Linked DNA regions of Solanum lycopersicum. The main gene of each other region encodes a partner of the protein of the gene in region 6 in a complex. Links are inferred from orthologs where the notes say so. Each region holds a gene or a part of one and is shown on either strand. Other genes may lie near its edges. The genes, in order: large ribosomal subunit protein uL15c, large ribosomal subunit protein bL31c, large ribosomal subunit protein uL5c, large ribosomal subunit protein uL4c, large ribosomal subunit protein uL1c and large ribosomal subunit protein bL34c.

Region 1 (4,299 bases), on a different chromosome or scaffold from region 6:
TCAATGAAATTGATAGTCAGCAATATTGAGTATACAAGGAACGGGTGGCAAAGGTGGTAAACATGTAGTAGATAATTGCTTTTGACAGATTAGCCTGACTTGAGGGAAATCCTTAACTAAATCAACAAAACACATAATGAAACAAATTAAAAGACGAGATTGGAGGTTTTACAAAGAGCACTATCAATTACTTCAGTTATTAAGTTAGAATAGCCTAAAATAGTCAAAGTTATAAAAATTAGACATGGCAAGGCCTAATCAGTATGAAAGGCCTAAGAAAAGTAAGAACTTATTTTTTGACACACAACTCTAGGTGTGAGTATCAAGGTTCAGCATTATATAATGCGAATGGATACAAGTTACGCCAAAAATAAAGGACAGTTATGAATCATCTTAGTAATACCAACAACTTGACATTGAAGAAAATACTTAATCAAACGCCATGCATAAGGGAAAGTGAAGACTACTCAAGAGCCACACTGAGACTAGAGAGTCAAGGCACTGACATTCTCTTCAAATCAAAGGAAGAATAGCCCTTTGACTCGAGGGCCTTTTTACCTCCTTAGTATGAACTTTCCAAATCCTCCTCCTTTTAAAATAAGTTTCCTGCTAGGGGAAGGTTAGGAAAGGACAGATTTTATATCCGCTGATTCGGTTTATGATGGCATAAGGAGCATTTGTTCGAGTGAGAGCTCCTAGAATGTTCATTTTGCAGTAAGAAACTTCTTGACAGACGTTACACCTGGTTGGATGCTTGAGCACATTTCTCTCATATCGATCAAGGCTTTCCTTTTAGTTTAAATAAGGGGGTAACAGTCTTCGGATTATAGAGGAAGATAAAAATGTTGAGGATTTCAGAATATTGCAAATAAGAAAATAAGAATTTCAAGATATTTGCCTTGATGTCATATAACTATGCATAGCTTTATTTCTTAGTGCAATATATTGATCATTTGTAATAAATTTCTTTAGATTAATCATCAGTACAGTTTGAGTATGCATACACATATGTCCACCAGATGCAGATAAGACTTTTTATCATCCTATGAAAATCTGCCTCTGCAATGACACAACCAAAAGAAAAACAAACATGCTTGTAAACAAAGATACACACAGTGCACCCAAGTGAGTGGCGTAGTTGTTAATGGAGTTGGTTGAGAACCATAATGTCTCCTGTTCAATATTCATTTATCCAAGCCTTTCTGGATAGAGTTATCCGCTCAGCAGCGCATTTACTATTTGGAGATGGATGACACCAGGCAGGGCAGAAAAAAGAGTTTGTATTCCATTAGTTGAGGAATGAAGTAGCAAAGGAATATCCAACACAAGTGTTGGCAGGAAGAAGCAGGTACCCGTGGAATTAAGTACATGACAGTGTTATCAAATCAAAAAAACTCTGAGGACCATTGGGACTAAGCATAAAACGTGAATAAAGCATGATCTTTAATATAAAAAGGAGCAAAGGGAGAAATACAAATACATATGTTTGTTTAGTCTAAGAATAATAATTGTAAGCATGAATGACAAATATATGAACAAAGAAATTATTTTTTTTACTATTAAGTGAAATATCAATTGTTTAGTGTTGCCTAAAGAGACTCAAAAGAATGCCTAAGAAACTTGATGACGACCCTGAAGAGCACATTAAGCAAGACAAAGCGCTCAACACATTTTGAACCTCGCTTATGCACAGCTTTGACAACACTACTGCATGCAAGGTGCCCCGAACACAAATATAAAAAAGAACACATAGTCAAGTTAAAGCTATAAATTTTATAACACTTATCCATAGACTTTTAAATGGTAAACTATAACACTGCAGATGGACACAGAAACAAACAACAAAACAAGGAAAAACAAAATCCAACTCAAACTAAGGGGTCATTTGGTACTAGGGATGAGATAGACAAAGTTATCCCATTGATTAGTATATCCCGAGGAATTAGTTATCCCGCCATATATATATGAGATAACTTATCCTATCATTATCTTATAAAAATGACAAGATAGATATTCAGGGACTAACTAATACCCCTAACCAAAGGCAATCCAACATTTTATCCCGAGATTATTATCTCTTATCCCTTGTACCAAACGACCCCTGTGATAATATAATTATGTTGAAGCAATGTTAACAAATTACCTCCAGCAATTCCTCTCAACTTAGGAAGTCTCCTATAGAGAGGCATTTGACCCCCTTCAAACCCCTTTCTAACTCCAGGTCCAGACCTTGATTTTTGACCTCTCATACCAAAACCACAACTACCCCCTTGTCCAGCTGAATGCCCTCTACCTTTCCTCTTCCTATTCTTGGTAGCCCCAGGTTGAGGACCCAAGTTATTAAGCCGAAAACGAACACTCCCAGTTGCAGAATCAGCACCAAAACTTGCAGTTTGGTTGAAAACAACAAATGGGGTTCTTGTTATTGACTTAGATTTCAAATTGCAGACCTTTATTAAAGGCAAAAGCTTCGAACTTGACTTCAAATTACTTACATTACCCTGAAAAAAATTGATGGGGATAAATGAGAATTGTATAATTTTGACAGAAATTGAAAAATTAAAGAGGAGAAATTGTACCTTGAATGATGAAGAAAACTGGGTAATGATTGAATTTGTTCTTGTAGGTGATGCAGAGGAGATGGAGAGTAGAGACGCCATTGTTGATAAGGGAGAACTCAGGATTGTGTTCACTGTCCAAGCAAAAAGTGTTTTGACAAATTTTAACGGATAGGGGTGGTTATTTCAGGGACTTTCTTTTCTACTTTTTAAATTAGTTTACGAGTCTATTATCAGGTGTTCGATATTTAATTCGATATGTGTGTATTACACTTCATTTTGAGGATCGTGGTCTTTTTTGCTTCCAACATGATGTTTGATATTAGTAATAGGCTTAAATAAAATTTGAATTCACACACGACTGGGCACATTTTTAGAGGGGACTTTCCTAACTGATTTTTTTCATTTATGGGATTGAATTTGAAACATATGATTAAGAAAGAGAGATCTAAACGCTCGCTACAAGTCATATTAATTACTAACATGTTTGATTACTTAGTCATTGATAAATTCTATACGAGGGTTATTAGTAATTCGTCAACTTCTTTTTTAGATAGTAATCTTTCTTTTCTTCCTCTTTCGTCATGCTATACTCCGATGAGGATTACTCTTATAATGTTCTGCTTAAGAAAATTTAAAAGAATCTCCTTAATCCTGTCTTACTCCGCCCAAATTTCTGTATACATTCATTAATCAGCAAATTATAAAAATGACTACATTTATAGGATTTATCAAAGTTCAATAGCTACAAGTATGTTATTTATAAAAAATGAATACAATTTATATCTTTTTCTAGCTGTATTAATTCTTTAAATATTATTATTTTTCTATTTATACAGTAATACAAGTTTAATTACAACAAACTAAATAAGGAAAATGTATTAATTGTGTACAGTTAGTATATGAATACTTTGAATTCAAATTAGTATCTATATTTATAAAACGTAAAGTGTATATATATATATATATATATATATATATATATATATATATCAATGATACAAGTTTTTGTAAGAATTTAATGTATCAATATATATATCAAACAAGTTAAAGTATGACAATTAGCATATGAACACGGCTATTTGAAAAATGAATACATTATTGTTGTTCAAAAAATGAATGCAATATAGTATACATATGAATACATTGTGTTACTAAATCAAAGATGGATAAATTGGACAACGTAGAAACAAAAAAATAGAAAATAATAGAATGTGTCGGTATCAAAGTATATAAGAATTCGCCTGTATAAAAAATTGATAAATAACAATTGCCAATCTCTTTTTGGTAAGTGATCCTGTAATACATGAAGCTTGGTGTTAACTTAGGTATTTATAAAAATATAGTATTAATGTATCCAATTGTACTTGTATTGCCTAATCAATCTTGTAAATTGGATAAATTACTTATGTATCCAGATATATTTGTATTTGTAAATCACCATTTTCAACGAGTGTTAATATTATAATACAAATATCTATGTATATAAGTATTCTATTTTATATATATATATATATATATATATATACACACAAATTTGACAATCACACAAACCTCCATCTCTTTTTACTCATGTTCTTCCTCCTGTACTATTTTTAAAAAAAATATAACTATAGTCATTGCAATGGAGAAAACAAGATAATTCTTAACCAGAATCCTTTAAAAATAAATGAAAATATAGATGGATATAAATATAATTTTCATATATAAAAAAAGAGAGAAAATCAACTAAAATATATTT
Region 2 (2,906 bases), on a different chromosome or scaffold from region 6:
AGAGCAGGGTAAAGGAATAAAGACATAGATTAATAAATTGAATGCAGAGTTCGCTTTACAAGAACAAAAAATCTTTCTTAAGAACCTATGTGACTTGCTTTAAACCGGCACCTTCCCTTTTTTAGTATGAGAAGAGACCAGCCAGCTTGATAGACAACTCTCAAAAAGCATTTTACACAGTAAACTGCAAGAATGGAAGTGCACCACAGCACCAGTACAACTAACATTAGAACGCTTGGCTAATGCAACCATACAAAAGACAAGACACCAAATCTATAACAGACTTTATTTCATCTTTACTTTGTCAAGGATTCAAGGGACGGCTGAAACCCTGAAACAATCAGCCTTTCCAATCACAGGTATAACATTACACCAAGATAGTGCAAAACGGACAAGTTTCGTTCAGTTTATCAGGTAAAGGGGTGAAAGACAACTCATTTGAAACTATTGAACGTAAACTATGATCAATGAACTACACCTGATCCAAACTGTTTTAAGTTAACACAATTTTTTTGTATCCATTCAGCTCTATTAGGCTCATTACATTCCAATAGTCGAAGCAATAATGGCAATCGAAAGCAAGACAATTCACTGGATTCAACTTAAATGCTCTACCAGCCCAACTAATTGATGAACCATATAACAACAACAGCAAATCCAAAAATTTGAAGAACAAAGACTGAATTTTTATACTTCCATTTTCAAATAATAGACTGAGTTCACAACTGAAACCATCAAAATACAAACACAAAATACACAAAACCCCTAATTCTCCAACAATTTCCCCATTTACGAAACGAACTAAGGGAATTACAAACACACAATAAAGTCTACTTCTTCTTAGTAGGTTTCTTCTTCTTAGGAGGAAGCACAATCTCTCCTTTGAGAGTTGGAATTTGCATAATCTGTGTTAACCCACTAAACTTCTTCCTGAATTTCTCTACCTGGTCAGCATCAAGAAGTAGCTGTGAACGACTACCTTGATAAAAAGGATGATTACCTGACCAAACATCAACTGTGTACTCATTCTTTGTTCCCCCAGTTGTCATCACATGCTCTCCATTACAATATACCTTAGCGTCATCGTAGAATTGCGGATGTATATCCTTCTTCCTGCAGCTCCATCGCATTTGATTGCTCCCAATTCCCATCTGCAAAATTCAATTTTTCAACAATCATATACTTTTTAAAAAAAAAAAAAAAAAGTTATGGGTATGGAGATTTTGGGGAGTTACCTTCTTGGAGGAGAATGAAGGAGGAGCGACATTTTTTTGAAGGAAAGTGTTGGAGAGAGTGAGCGCCATTGTTGGTATTTTTGCAGAAGAAGAATGAGAGATGGAGAAAAAGAGGAACGGGTTGAAGATTAGATTGCTTATCTGAGGATATTGGGCTGTATATTTGATTGGGCTCTACTTGGGCTAGTTTTGTATGATGTTACTTTTGGGCTATTACTTGAAGCCCAAGGAGTAGGTAAGGCCCATTTATGTAAATACTCTTTCAAAAATGGATTAAACTCGTTAGGGTTGTTTGGGATTAGTTATTGATTCGTTATTACTAATTTGATTTCTTGCATAAGTATTGCATATTTTTTTAAGAAAAACTTGTTTGTTGTAAAAATATCATTTACCCTAGTAGAAAAAAGGTTTGACTAATCTCAAAAGTATTTTTATTATTTTATTTTTAAGTAATCGCTGTTTTTGGGTGGGCACATGGTAAAACTCCCGCTCCTATACGTTAGTTCGCAAATCACATAGGAGAAATAATCTGCATTAGGCAAATTCGGTGCGATGAGCTCAACCCAGAATTTACTTTCGCTGGCAAGTGATTTTGAACTTAAGACCTCTAACTTAAAAGTTCCAAGTCTTAACCATCTGGAGAAATAATGCTAATAAAATATTATCTGTAGATTATTTATATTTATACTCATATCACCCACCATGTATAGAGTGTCAATTACGACTTCTTGACCATTGAATTTAATACTATCGGTCTCTCCTCTCCGAGACGTGTAACACAAATTGGCCAATTTATAAATCAAATATCCTCCTTTTTCCTTTGTATCTAGAGTTTACCAAATAGTTTTTTGTTTTTTTTTTTACATATTATTGAAAGATTAATTCAACCAGGCATGATTGATAATAACTTAGTTCGATTATAATCTTTGATAAGAATAAAGTGTTTGAATAAACAGAAGTGATGTTGTGCTTACCGCCATAAGCAAATCCAAGTTATTTATCTTGTCCTACTTTCAATTTTTGTTATCCCACACGTTGTATTGATTCATTAATCTTTTTTTTTAAAAAAAAATAATTTCTTTACTATTATATTTCTTTTTTAATATGCTTTGAAATATCTTAATTTATCAAAAATAAACTCTTCAATTTCATAAAATAAAATCATATGAAATTACACTAGATACATCGATACAATCGATGTTTTTTTTAAGGCATAATAAATCACTACTAGAATACTTCCTCTGACATACAACATGTCGAGCAGTACATTACCAAAAAAAAAAAAAAAAAAACATTATCTAACTTCTTGCTAACTTAAATTAATTCATCTCTAACATAAATTAAATCTCTCTAATTCTCATGATTAATCCTTTAATTTCCTTGCTTTCTTCCACTTCTCTATATTCTTCAACCTTGCATACATTTTTCTAATCTTATTAAGCCTTTTAGATTGCTGAATAATAATATCAGAAACAGATGAACTTTCACTCAATATAATCTCATATCCATCTTTAAATGAATCCATTCCTTCAGCCAAAACATGCCAAAACAACCCTCCTGCCGCCGCGCCGCCGCCTTTAGCTGATGAAAATATAGAGGAATAAACAGTGTTGAAGATTATATCTCTTTGTTGTGGTGTAAAGCCAGGCCCTTTTGTTGTTTTGCCAAACT
Region 3 (3,681 bases), on a different chromosome or scaffold from region 6:
GGGAATTAGTAAACTCAAATTAATTCAGATTCATATTAAAAAAATTCAGATAATGTAAAACACTTTTTATATATCAAAAGAAATTATATTCTATAACTCTGAATTTAAAATTTCTGATAAAAATATATTCGTACTTTCTACTCTACCACAACTTTTGAGGTTCCAATCCCATTCGATGTGAAATTCTTTTATTTTCACCTTTATTCAAGGTAAACTCATCCAAAATAAATAAATTATAAACGAAGTTCAAATAATCTAAGTAAATACAAGTATAGAAGAAATGAGCGAAATTAGGCTATAAATGTAAACAAAGACATGCCAGTGAAGAAACTGGCTAAATAATAAAGATTAGGTTTATTTAATGAAATGGGCCACTACGACGTTAAATTTTCAAAAAATTATCCAGCCCACAAACCAATTTAGACTTGGGCCTACCTCATTCCAGTCTAATAGACCCCAATATTTTCTTGGTAAAAATTTTTGTTGGGCCAATAAAATTTGATATAGTAAATTTCATATATAACAAATACAAAATTTATATTTGTATGATATAGCAAAGTTTGTATACTTGCGCTCGGTGACAAATATAAATATGCATAATTCCCTATATACATATACAAAGAAAGCAGTTGTATAATTCACTATACATATACAAAAGAAAGCAGTTGTATACAAAAGATAAATTGTATAATCTGCCATTTGTGTATGTATAAAACGAGAAAAAGAGAAAGACAAAAGAAAACTGAGCAGGAGAATATTTGTTTTGTATAATTACAAGTGTATAGGACGAAGATATATGTATTTACATGTGTATATACAATTTTCTCTCGCTTTATACAAACAGAAATGCAATTTATACATTTCGTTTCTGTTTGAATAAGCGAGAGAGGCGAGGGAGATTCGGGAGAGTGGTGAGTGAGATTTGAGATAGGTGAACAAAACTATATGTATCTATACAATTTTCTCTCACTTTATACAAACGCAAACACATTTTATACAATTGTGTTTGTATAAAAAACGAGAGAGGTGAGTGAGACTGTCACAAAACGAGAGTGGCGAGCGAGATTCCACCAGGGAGAGTGGCGGAAATAGCAATAGTTTGCTATAGGGTACAATTAAATCAAAGTATATTTATAACATTTAATTTAAATTAACAGTTTGCTATTATATACAATTTTCCTGATTTGATACGATCTTCATTCAATAATTTTTAGCCCAAAACTTAAGCTAACATTTAACCATAAATTTCATCATATGTTTGGCTTAATTTTTGGAAACATATTTCACTTTTTTTAAGAAATGTATACTAATAAGTTTTAAAAGTTATCAAAACTAACTATAAGTTTGTATTGCATAACAAAATAGAATAAAAAGATTCACTATCGTAACAATTAGTGTCCATGTCACTGAAGCAATATGGTAATTCAGAGATAGTGCAACAAGCATCATTGCATACATTATGAAGTAGACGAAACATATTGTTCGTCACTTTTATCAATAATCATATCGTCATTTTCTTATTTACTGAATATTACATCATTATTTTGATGTTCACGTAAAAAATTTTACTTGAAAAATCTATGGCGAAATGGATCCGAATTTTTTTTACTTAAACATTCACAAATTAAAATTTAGTAGAGAGAACTCTGTTATATCCACAAAGAACATCTTATCCAATTACCCTTTTATTTTTCACACACAGAGAGAAAAAGCTCAGAGAAAATGGCGGCTTCTCCTCTTCTTCTACACTCCACGGCCTCCTCTTTCTACAATGCTGAGTTTCCGGCGTACTCCGTTCGATTGCCGGTCGGAAATACCAAGGTCCGGTCGTCCAATAAATTGACGGTGAAAGCTTCAGCAACAGTACTAGTGGATAAAAGTGAAGCTGAAAAAGTTAATCGTCTGAAAACAAATTACCTCGAAAAGATTGTGCCGTTGTTGAAGGAAGAATTCAGTTACACCAATATTCTTCAGGTAAACTTAGGAGTCGTTTGTCCATTGCATTTTTTTTCCAGAACAGATAAAAATTAGGGCTTGGGAAAGGGAAAATGGGGGAATTGAACAAATTTTTCAGTTTTTAAAAAAGCTTAGTGCAGGTTCAAACACAAATTCAATTTTCAATTATACTTTTCAAGTTAATTTCAATTTCAAAGCATATGTACTTCTTTAGCTTCAAATTTTACAACTTATATCTACAAATTTGAACTGTTTCTTGTTTGTTTGATTAAATGTTGAATTTTAGAGTTGAAATGCTGAGAAATTAGTTTGTTTGACACTATTATCATTTGAGGAGTGAGAAATCACAGTGAATATTAGTTGCATTGACCTATTGCTTCAAACTCTATTATTATTTTTTAGTTTTAATTTGATTTGATACGGAATGTGGAAAAACCGTGTTTTAGGTTCCGAAGGTCGAAAAGATTGTGGTAAATTGTGGTATAGGAGATGCTGCACAAAATTCCAAGGGTTTGGATGCAGCAATGAATGATTTGGCCTTAATTACAGGGCAAAGGCCTGTGAAGACTAGGGCTAAGAATGCTATTGCTACTTTCAAAATTAGAGAAGGTCAACCGCTTGGAATTGCTGTTACACTTCGAGGGAATGTAATGTATTCGTTCCTTGACCGGTTAATTAATTTGGGGCTTCCTCGAACGAGGGACTTTCAAGGCGTAAACCCCAATAGCTTTGATGGTCATGGAAATTATAGCATTGGCTTTCGTGAACAGAGTGTCTTCCCAGAGTTAAGTTATGATGCTCTTGGTAAGCCAAGAGGGATGGATGTTTGCATAACAACAACAGCTGAGACAGATAAAGAGGCACACAGATTGTTGGCTCTCATGGGTATGCCATTTAGAGAAGGTTCTGGTGGACAGACAACTTTTACGAAAAAGAAAAAGCTTAGAGCTCACCATTTTGACTCGAAGGCGAAGCAAAGGTCTAGGAGATGAGGTGGATCCAATCTCCAGGGATAATGAGTTGATTTGTTGTTTTTTAACTGTTTTGTGGTTTATCAGTTGTTTTTGGCGTACAATTTGAATAGAAAAATCTGTAATTGCACTTTTACCATCTGGCTGGTGATGTCTCGAATATATGTTATTTACGTTTTCTTCCTCTAAAAAAAAAAAAATAAGAATTGTTTTTATCTCTAGTTAAGTTTTTACTATTCATGAATCTTGATTACTGTAATTTGTATGTTATTAAATATTTCCTACCCGCTCCCTTTTCTCGTCTGCCATTTACTTTGATTTCAGGCAAAGAGTTTCTCTTGTTAGCTCCACCATATTCACATTTAGGTGAGTTAACATCTCTGCTTTTATCTTTTATCGTATGTGATAAGGAGTATTTGCGGGCGATATCTTATTTACGTTTTCTAAATTTGTCCTAATGCTTAACACTTGATGTGTGTGAGGCTGTGGAGTCCCATACTTATTTCTACTCCCTGATCCCCCACCTTTCTCCTTTCTTCCTCTAAGGTTTATTTATATTCGCATATTAGAAAGTCACAGTTATTTATAGTATATACCATGTTGCTGAATCTTTATTCCCTTGGCTTCATTTTATTCTGCTCAAATTGTACAGAGTTTTTTCTTTCAAAGTGTGTATGAATGTGCTTTTTAGTGGTTTCAGGTTCTATGTCATTTGATTTGGTTTTAACCTGTTCTTGTAATGCTGCATTCTGAT
Region 4 (3,687 bases), on a different chromosome or scaffold from region 6:
AATGTAAATTTTTCATTTTTCTTGTTCTTCTTTTGCTTTTTAAACAGCCTGGCTTTGAAATATGTAAAATTGATCAATGAGATAGTTTGTGCAATCCATTGATTCATTCTCAAACCTTCTATTTTGAGGCTAAAAGCAGAGTAGCAATTAGCGCTTAAACTCAAAAGTTCTAGTAAAAGCCTAGAGATACTCATATACTCTCCATCACATATTTTGATAGTACAAATGTCCAAGTTATCTGCCTCCATAGATAGTCTACTAGATATGGTCTGTTTCAAGGTTAATAATGCTTAGCATCCCATATGCCCCCAATGACTCAAAACAAAGTAAAGAGCATTTTTTCCTGCCAATTACTTTGTGTTTGTATTAAAGAAAAAGGTGATGAAGCTTTTTCCACCCAAATAAAGGTTTCCTTTTCTTAACTTTGCTTAATTGCTTCAAGCCTAAGACTCAAACACAAAGCTTTCCTAATCATTTTACTTTGCTGAATCTCGCCTGGCTGACAACTTGTAACCCATAAATCTTATATAAAGCTTCATCTACTAAGCAATTAATGTAGTTTTGCCAGAACACAAGACTTAATTAGTAAAGTAACTAATCACTCTTATCATAAAAATCAAGAACTCAAAGTGGTAATGAGAGCGGAACGAAAATCAAGAGTAAACTATTCCAACGAAGGTAATGGACAAATGCAGTCAGTGACATGAAATCAACCAAAATCACCTAGTTTTATCATACAATAAAATACAATTCAAAGTGAAATATACTAAGCTCCCTGTAAGGTAAAGCCTCCTCTAAAATGGAACAGACCCTTTTCGCCCCATGTTCATATATTACTCAGAACTTTCAGCACTCTCCTCCACCTCGCCACCTGAATGCAGCAAATTAACGAGTTAGCTAAAATTGAAAGGAAACTTCATACCCAAAATGAAGCAAAAACTAACCATCTTCTTCTTCCTCGTCCACCACCTCCCAGTCATCATCATCATCATCATCATTTCCGTATCGTTCATTCAAGAACTCCACAGCTGATTTAGTGAAAACCAGCTTCTCAGAATCCAATATGTCGAAAAGATTCAAAGTTCTGGGTGTCAACATCTTCAATGTGCTAATGTTTCTGCTGGAGAGAATCACATTGTCTGAAACTTCCGTCATCAAAAACAAAGATTTCTCTTTTGGGTCCAATCCCCATCTTCTCATCAAATCAATGAACTCCTTAGTCTTCGGTTTCTCAAACTTATCATCAAACTCTTCCACAACAATGGCATTCTGTGTAGCACTCGAAAGCGCAGTAGAAATCGCGAGTCTCTTTTCCTTTTTGTTAATCTTAACTGACCAATCCTTAGGTTTCGGCCCAAACACAACCCCACCACCTGGTCGTAAAGGAGTTCGGTTCGACCCACGTCGAGCTCGACCCGTTTTCTTTTGTGGGTATGGTTTGATACCACCACCCCGTACTTGGGCTCGGGTAAGGGTGGAAGCAGTACCGCGACGTTGGTTGCGCAGGTCAGTGGTAAGCCCACGATGAACGACGGCGCGTGCGGTATCAAGAGGGGCGGATTTTAAGTTGAGAGTGGTGGAGCCCACTTCGGTACCATCAAAGGACAGAATTGGAATAGTGGCGGCGGCGGCCTCTGAACGGATGGAGAATTGTTGTTGTTTGGGTTTGAAAATGAGTTGTTTCTGCTGCTGCTGCTTTGAGGAGTGAAGGGTGTTGGAGTTAGAGAAGAAAATGGTGGAAGAAAAGAAAGATAAAGAAGAAGAAGTAGCCATTTTTGCAGTGAAGGAGCAAACTGCAAGCCTATGGATTGGGTTATCCACAAATGAGGAAGAAGGATATCAAAATGTATTCATATTCTTTGTTCAAATAAATTTAGTGAAAATGGAAAAGTCATATATACCCTCAAAGTATTTGAAATTGAGCACATATTTGATAAATTTAGGGACATATTTGCGGAAACATGCGCTCCCTGCGGGTAATAACAAGAGAGTGAATCCTCCAAACTCAAAGAGTGATTGAGTCCGTCTCAAGCGAGTGAGTGAAAGGCGTGGCAAGAGAGCGAGTTCGACTTGCGAACGATCAGCAAGTGAAGGACCGATCCTTTTGCGCCAATGAACTCTTCAACTTTACGACGTAACAGACTCTCTAGCTTTACGAGATAGTGATAAGGTCTACAAATATTCTATTCTTTCTATGCTTATCGTTGTCAGAGTATATTTGATAATTTTTTCACTTATGAATCAACAAATGAGGTTAATCAAATGTTTCATTTAGACTAATAACACATTCAAAATGATAAGGTCATATATAAGCCAAACTATTGACGAAGAGTTGAAGGGCATGTCTATTTAATTTACAATACTTTAAGAACATAATTAAATCTTCTTTTGTGTAGGAAAAAAAATAAATTTTTTAGAGCGTAAGCGACAAATAAAATTTTTATGAAATGTGCTCTTTATTTTTATTAATTTTGATATAATATAAAAGTTATACAATTTTCTTGATCAAGTCTTTTGTTAGTTGGGGCTACACCATCATAAGCCCAAAACCTTCATTTTCTTTTATTTTGAGGCGCTATTGATGCAGCCTGCTACATATTGCCTTCCCTTTCCAATTTTTCCATGATACGCTAAGCCCAACTCGTATGTTGAATTCGGTTAAGAAAACAAACCTTGAATCTAATCTAACTGTAACATCGTAGCTAGCTCAAGAGGAAATAATTGTTCAAGATTATTTATGCTTATCAATCAATTTAAGACTCAACGCTCCTTTGCACGTTCATGGTCAGATATCATGAATGTAAGCAATATAAAATGGAGACCTAATATTAAATGATAATGAAGTGAGATGGACGTAACTTCAATACCATATTAGATTTAACTCAATTCAAAAGATAAATCGAGGAGATATGATTGTTCAAGAGTATATAAAGAAATCAATTTCTCCTCGTTCCACTTATGTTGAAACTTAACAAACTCAATTAAATTTTGAACTAATAATTTCAAATGTACCATAAAAATAGGTTCTGCAGCTTACATCCTAAAATTAGGTAAGCTATGCTTATTCCACATTGAATTAAAAGCAACAGAAAGTTCATAGGTCTTTAGTAAAAAGAATTTATACTAATATGGGATTTACAATTGCCATGAAAAACGTCTTAATCAATACTCCTATCTCAATGACTATCTATAAGTACTCCTTCATCCTTAATTAGAGATTTCAGATTTGAATCTTTCAAAGTACAAAGTCACCTTTACGAGGAAACAATGAATCCCTCAGTACTAATGTGAATCCAGATTAGTTGAGCTCCAATATGAATATCAGACATCAGGCGCATAAAGCATAGATTCACAAGATTCTTCCCAAGAAAACTCCCTACATGCACCAACAAAGTTAGTGAAATCTTCAACTCCATTTTGATCATAGTAACAATCCTTGAACCAAATATTCATATCATCATCATCACTAGGAGTTGAAGAATCCATGTCTGAATCAATCCAACAATATTCAAGTTCACCAAGATCATCACAAGACAAATTAGTTGAATTCTCTACTTTCATTTGCTCAAACAAAATTGAATCATTTGTATTAACACTAGGAACAATATTCTCTACTTCTAATGACTCAATCACACTTCTTAATAACTCTTCATCACTTGCCTCAAATTCTGGTTCTTCAAGAAATGA
Region 5 (2,714 bases), about 25 Mb from region 6:
TTGATGATCTTTAATTTTTATCCTTAAATTAGTAATCTTTTAACTTTTTGTACATGTCTATGGATCAGAGTGTCTTTAGTTATGACCTAATCTTAGAGATTTTTGTTGTTTTATTTGACATAAGTTGTATGTTATCATTCGTAAGGCGTAAGTTTAGAGAACATTTTGTCTTGTAGAAATAAGTTAAGTCTGTTGAGGCATGATTTTGTGGGTTTTAAGACTGAACACATTTCTCGATAAACATAAGTTCCATAGAAACTAAGTTATGTCTTATAAGTCATAACTCATGAGTTATGCCAGAACTAAGTTTATGTTTTATAATAAGGCATTATGAATTGAACTTTTATGCTTCGTTCTTTAGGAATAAGAGACATAAATTGTTTAGATTAGATACGAAAAAATAAAATTGTCTTGTGGTTTTTTATTTTATTTATTTATTTTCGATGTTAAGAGTATTTTCAGACGACTTTTTTGTTATCGCAAGTGATGAAGGACAAAAATTATCCTAAAAAATTAACTACCACCCCATGGGTACATGCGTATGACCCTTTTCCACAGTGGTAAAGTAAAGAAAAATACTAAAAACTGATAGGTTTATTCAGCTCAATCAGTTGTTGGCAGAATCTCAAGAGATGAACACAAATTAGAGAATCTTGCAGCATATAAAACTTCTGAAAATTGAATTAGCTCCCCTTTTAGCAAATCGAAGCATAATGTACATTAGCACCTAGTAAGAATTAAACTGAACATAAACATTGACAATATCAAACAAAATTATTCTCTTAGCAACTGTGCCTATGAATGCTTCCACACTGATATTGACAATATGAAGTTTGGATCTCCTTTCAAACTCCACCTACTTTGTATCCTAACTCTCATAAAATGGAAGCTCTGATAAGGCGCCGAAGAAACTTAGGTAGATGATAGAAGATACAATATACATGTCTCGCTCAATTAAGCATTCGGAAGCTTGTACTCCAGCATCTCCCTTACGTTTAACCGAATGGATGGCCCCATCGACGAGCATACATGTGCACTCTTCCAATAAACTCCTTTAGCACCTGATGGTTTGTTTGCTTCCACCGATTTCTGTTCATTCAAAGAAATGCAGTTGAATTAATTTACAATGGCTTCTACCAGCCTCTCTACCTCCATGAGGTAGTTGTAAGGTCTGTATACATTCTACCCTCCCCAGACCCCACTTTTTAGAATTTTACTCGGTATGTTGTTGTTGGTATATTCAAACTATTCTGGAACAAAAGTATAAGAAATAGGAGCTAACGATAAAACTTACCACTGCTGCAATGAAGTTTATGATAAGATCTTCTTCCGAGAAATTTGCTTTTCCAAATGGCAAGTGAACAATTCCAGTTTTATCTGCTCGGTATTCTACTTTACCCTTTTTGAATTCTTCGATAGCCTGGAGGAAGTACAACAAGTTTACATACTTGAAAACATTTTCAAGGAGCAAGAAAATAGTCCATTAAGTGAATCATCACTGCCTACTCATTAACTACATTGTTTCACATTTTGTTAACTCTGAATAACTTCCAAGCTAGGATATATATGGTGTGGCTTCCCATTTAATATAAAGATCTAGGGATTCCACCATTGCACATAGAACATAAGAAAGAGAGTATTTTGATTCAACTTTTTCACAAGAAGAAAATATTTGACACGTTACCTGAGGTATATTTGTAGTGACAGTACCAGCTTTTGGGTTTGGCATGAGTCCTCTAGGACCAAGGACCCTACCTAAGCTAGCAACCTGCCGCAAATAGTAGAGAATGTATCAATATGAATTCACAAAAAAATTACGTAAAATGAGCCACAGATACTTGTTCAGGTGTTAATAAAACTAATTTCTAGACAAGTCACTTAAAAAGGTTCAATTTTTTGAATCAGCTGTCAGTGAGCATTAAAATGGTAAGACGGGGAGAGGAGCCTCTGCGATTAATCACTCAGCTTAAGTTAGGCTTAATATTGCCATCAGTCCTGCAGCATTAGATTTATGATAAAGTAAGATGGACCATAATTCACAAATATACAATGCAGAAGCTGTTCCAAGATATGGCACATGAAGAATGTAAAACTCATGCACAATGTTACAACAGAATTTTATGATTTAACTTTTTCAGAAAGAAGGCTTGCTAGAAAATATGCAGATGCTGACTAGCCAGATTTTGAGGTCAAGGAATTTTAAGAGCACCAACCTAGCAAAATATATGAACAAATGAACATGGAATGACAGAGAAAGACTCCGAAGGGAATGATAGAATTTAACAAAATATGTTTTATTCAACCAAATCATTATTTTAGTTGTGAAGTATTTTCAGAAGAAAAGATACAACAGCTAGAGCTTTTCACCAGGTCAAGTGAGTTGGTTCAGAACAAGCTACGCATTGTTAAGTTATATATCCAGGTTGACAAGGCCCAAACGCATGCACAAAAACTTTGGGAGCGAGATATGCTGAATTATTTGAGACAGACAGTCGCTCTTTGCCTTGTGCAAACTTCAATATGAGATTCTTAAAACCAAGAGACAGAAGTTCATAGGCTGGTTGTCGAAGACAGTATAAAAAATGAAAAAGGAGATCAAATTGAACATCAAAGGCAAGTCAGACATTTTTAATAGCAAAGACTGTAGAAACACCTTAGGCATCATATCTGGTGTTGCAATCAATTTGTCAAACTCCATAAATCCTCCCTTTATC
Region 6 (3,096 bases):
TAAAGTGAATATTTCGCTCATACAAACTTCTCATGCATTAGGATAGTATGCTTCTTATACCTACGTCCGGCATTACCAAATTGATGAGAAATAGAATATTACATATATTGTCTTTTCCGAGCTACTAATTTATAGAAAAAAACCATAGACAGGTCGGTTTCTGGTTCGGTTGGGGCACATTTCTAAATTGTATTTCAACTTACACATGCCAACAGCCGGATGATCCTGCAGCATACTAGTAAAATCCTCAGTTACGAAGCAAAATTTAGTAACACAAATGCAATTCTGAAATTTCCAAATAACTGCAGTTACAATCCAAGCTCACCCAACATGTGAAGAATGATTTGTGAGAACAATATAGCACCCTTACATAAGGGCCTTGTTCGATCGATGTCCATAAAACACCTCAACATGTCAGTCTCATATTCCCCTCTTTGGTGGAGCAACTTTCTTATAATACTTTCTCCAATGACAAATGGAAAACAAAAGAAAACATTAGACCTCTGAAAAAGCCCTATGATGAATCAGACAAATGAAAACCTGCTGAGTCTACAAATTTCTCAGGGTCGATTTGTTGACCAGACTCATGAACAAGATCAGAAGGAGAAAGCAAAAACCAATCAATGAAAGAGTGGACAATACAAAAATATGGAAACTAGTAAATTAGTTCTTTAAATAAAACAGATGAAAATTACAGCAGCCCAAAATTCTGAAAAAGATAGTTAACATATTACCAACAAAAATCAGTTGCAAGAAAACAATAAACATTAAGCTCGTTTTCCAGTTCTAGGTGAAGACTTTGGGCAGAGATCCCATCGGCCTTTTGCACGTCTTCGCTGGATAGTTGCTCTGCCACTGGTGGTGCTCATACGCTTGCGAAAACCATGTGTTCGAGCCAACGACTTCCTCGACCTATTCCTCTTAGTCTGACAAAGAGCATACTTCTTTGCCTGCACCACCAGGCCACGCCTTTTAGTGGTGCTCACTCCAATGTTGGAATTGAAGCCAATGCCAAATGATGAACCTACACCACATATTAAACCATTAGCTCGCTACTATTCATCATGCCAATTTAATATGAAATTGATCATATGTCTTTTGGACCTTAAAGGTCTCCTCTTTGTTGAAACTTTTTTGGTTCAATTGTTTTATAATCTAGCTTTAACCAATGGATTTTGACTATAAAATCAGAAATACGATTCACTTTTTTTCAATAGCACAGCAATGTCAGACCACAAATAGACACTACAAATTTGTGTTATATGGAATACTAAACATCAGAATGAAGAATTGCAACCTACTCTTGTCTCCCCCTTGTACCTTCAAAGAGTGTATATAATTTAACAGGACTCAAGATACACACAAGCGAATAATTGCCTATTAAGGAGTTCTCAAAAGAAGCAATTCAAATGAAAATACTACCTGCCTAAAACAGGAATCAATAAACAACCCCACATTACCAATTCAAATAACAACTGAAATCTCTAATTCACATTTTCAATTTCCACATCAAAATTGAAAAGGAAGATAGAGAATTTATGGAACTTACCAGAAAAGGATGTTGAAGAAGATAATGTAGAGAGTGCAGAGGAAGGAAGAAAAGAGCAGTGAAGCAACCCAGAATGAGTAGAGGCATTAGCAGCCATTTTCAAAGAAACAGAAGTAGTCGTTGTTGAAGAACCAGTACGTAGAGAAAGCGAAGCGGATGGTCTGTGGTTTCCTATTCCTGAACATACCCAACTTCCCATTGACAAAGAAGCCATTTTTTCTCTCTTTCAAAACTCTCCCTCTTACTCTTCTGTCTATCTATAAGAGGTTTTGATGCCTTATCTGCAATCCAAGGGACTCTTTAGGTAATCCGAAAAGATAAACGGGTTAAAGATGGATTTAGAGAGGGTTTGACACAGTAAAACACTTTTATTTAAAGTGGAAAGGGTAAAAATATTTTTCAATTTTATTTATTGATTTACTATGTCTTTTACCTTAAAAGGAAATTATTTTTACTCTTGTCGTTACTAATTTTCATCATTTATGCCCCTCAATTGGATGAAAATTCCAAATTTACTAAAATTATCCAATTTCATCATTTTGACCCAAATTCAAGAGCCTTTTGGGGAAAGAGATCCCAAGAGTGTAGATCTTTCATACCTTAGGATTACTTAGTGTTTGATGGATAAAATTTGAAGTATTTAAGTCCTACTCAAGCTTTGAATTGTTCTTCAATGGGGTCTTGCAATAGAGAGAGAAAGAAGAGAGAAGTTGGAGAGGATTTGAGTTTGGGAATTGTGGGGTGTTAGGTTAGTTTAATGAGGCTTAGGTATTATATAGTCCTTCAACTAACTTAATTAACCACCCCCTAACCCTTAATTAATTAACTAACTAACTAACTGATCAAATCCCCAACTTAAAAACTTGACAGCAAAACAAACCCAGTCGACGACTCCTCGACCTATGCCTTGTAGTCCCATCAACGGCCCCGTGCTGCTGGTCGTTGTTTGGGACAGAGACTTGATTTTTGGAGCATCCAGGCCAATTGAATAAGTGTCAACCTATGAGGCCATCTACGGAGCGTCGATCAAACGACGACTCCTCGCTTGGCTCGTGGTTGTACACTGTCAATTGACAACTTTTGGGTCCAAATGGAAGGGTCCTCCTCAAGGACCCCTAGGGTGGCCCTTGGGGAGTCGTACCTGTACATTTCAACCCTAAATACTCTCTTCTATATATGTAACGCCTTTTTACCAACTTTCATTAAATTACGACTCTTAAACCTCTATGCAACATGCCAAGGCACACGAGTGCATATTTCACAATCATCGAACGTCATGGTCATTTCTTGACATTTGACTCTAACACTTCCTAAATACTTTAAATATAGTATTTCAGGTAAATAAACAGTTTTTGAAGTGTTGGTTCATTATATGAATCTCTAGATTAGGTCATGGACTTTCGAAGTGTTACATTATCCCCCTTTAGGAACATTCGTCCCCGAATGACAGTAAAAATCTTTTGTAGGGGAAATTAGGAGACTCAATACTAGCAGCCCAACCAGAAACATATAAACAACATGAGTTAAAAATTAAAGGTGTAATTCAC

What was found.
Region 1: large ribosomal subunit protein bL34c (region 6) and large ribosomal subunit protein uL15c share a complex: the UniProt entries of both Arabidopsis thaliana proteins name them as parts of the 50S ribosomal subunit. The link is inferred for Solanum lycopersicum from reciprocal best matches to the Arabidopsis thaliana genes AT1G29070 and RPL15.
Region 2: large ribosomal subunit protein bL34c (region 6) and large ribosomal subunit protein bL31c share a complex: the UniProt entries of both Arabidopsis thaliana proteins name them as parts of the 50S ribosomal subunit. The link is inferred for Solanum lycopersicum from reciprocal best matches to the Arabidopsis thaliana genes AT1G29070 and emb2184.
Region 3: large ribosomal subunit protein bL34c (region 6) and large ribosomal subunit protein uL5c share a complex: the UniProt entries of both Arabidopsis thaliana proteins name them as parts of the 50S ribosomal subunit. The link is inferred for Solanum lycopersicum from reciprocal best matches to the Arabidopsis thaliana genes AT1G29070 and AT4G01310.
Region 4: large ribosomal subunit protein bL34c (region 6) and large ribosomal subunit protein uL4c share a complex: the UniProt entries of both Arabidopsis thaliana proteins name them as parts of the 50S ribosomal subunit. The link is inferred for Solanum lycopersicum from reciprocal best matches to the Arabidopsis thaliana genes AT1G29070 and RPL4.
Region 5: large ribosomal subunit protein bL34c (region 6) and large ribosomal subunit protein uL1c share a complex: the UniProt entries of both Arabidopsis thaliana proteins name them as parts of the 50S ribosomal subunit. The link is inferred for Solanum lycopersicum from reciprocal best matches to the Arabidopsis thaliana genes AT1G29070 and EMB3126.

The regions. Positions count from the first base shown.
Region 1 is NC_090804.1:3,795,264-3,799,562, forward strand, and holds the start of large ribosomal subunit protein uL15c, read right to left. Parts: upstream 2,854-4,299; 5' UTR 2,661-2,853; coding exon 2,580-2,660; intron 2,502-2,579; coding exon 2,144-2,501; intron 1-2,143.
Region 2 is NC_090803.1:66,609,202-66,612,107, reverse strand, and holds large ribosomal subunit protein bL31c, read right to left. Parts: upstream 1,455-2,906; 5' UTR 1,305-1,454; coding exon 1,236-1,304; intron 1,152-1,235; coding exon 831-1,151; 3' UTR 665-830; downstream 1-664. Other genes in the region: mannan endo-1,4-beta-mannosidase 7-like, read right to left, coding at 2,599-2,906. UniProt on the Arabidopsis thaliana protein: Binds the 23S rRNA.
Region 3 is NC_090808.1:1,642,540-1,646,220, forward strand, and holds large ribosomal subunit protein uL5c, read left to right. Parts: upstream 1-1,553; 5' UTR 1,554-1,722; coding exon 1,723-1,974; intron 1,975-2,402; coding exon 2,403-2,948; 3' UTR 2,949-3,148; downstream 3,149-3,681. UniProt on the Arabidopsis thaliana protein: Binds 5S rRNA, forms part of the central protuberance of the 50S subunit.
Region 4 is NC_090806.1:67,227,724-67,231,410, reverse strand, and holds large ribosomal subunit protein uL4c, read right to left. Parts: upstream 2,265-3,687; 5' UTR 1,774-2,264; coding exon 945-1,773; intron 872-944; coding exon 834-871; 3' UTR 645-833; downstream 1-644. UniProt on the Arabidopsis thaliana protein: This protein binds directly and specifically to 23S rRNA. May play a role in plastid transcriptional regulation.
Region 5 is NC_090800.1:78,436,337-78,439,050, reverse strand, and holds the end of large ribosomal subunit protein uL1c, read right to left. Parts: coding exon 2,654-2,714; intron 1,769-2,653; coding exon 1,685-1,768; intron 1,421-1,684; coding exon 1,295-1,420; intron 1,090-1,294; coding exon 955-1,089; 3' UTR 644-954; downstream 1-643. UniProt on the Arabidopsis thaliana protein: This protein binds directly to 23S ribosomal RNA.
Region 6 is NC_090800.1:53,256,576-53,259,671, reverse strand, and holds large ribosomal subunit protein bL34c, read right to left. Parts: upstream 1,891-3,096; 5' UTR 1,764-1,890; coding exon 1,550-1,763; intron 1,025-1,549; coding exon 768-1,024; 3' UTR 648-767; downstream 1-647. UniProt on the Arabidopsis thaliana protein: This protein binds directly to 23S ribosomal RNA.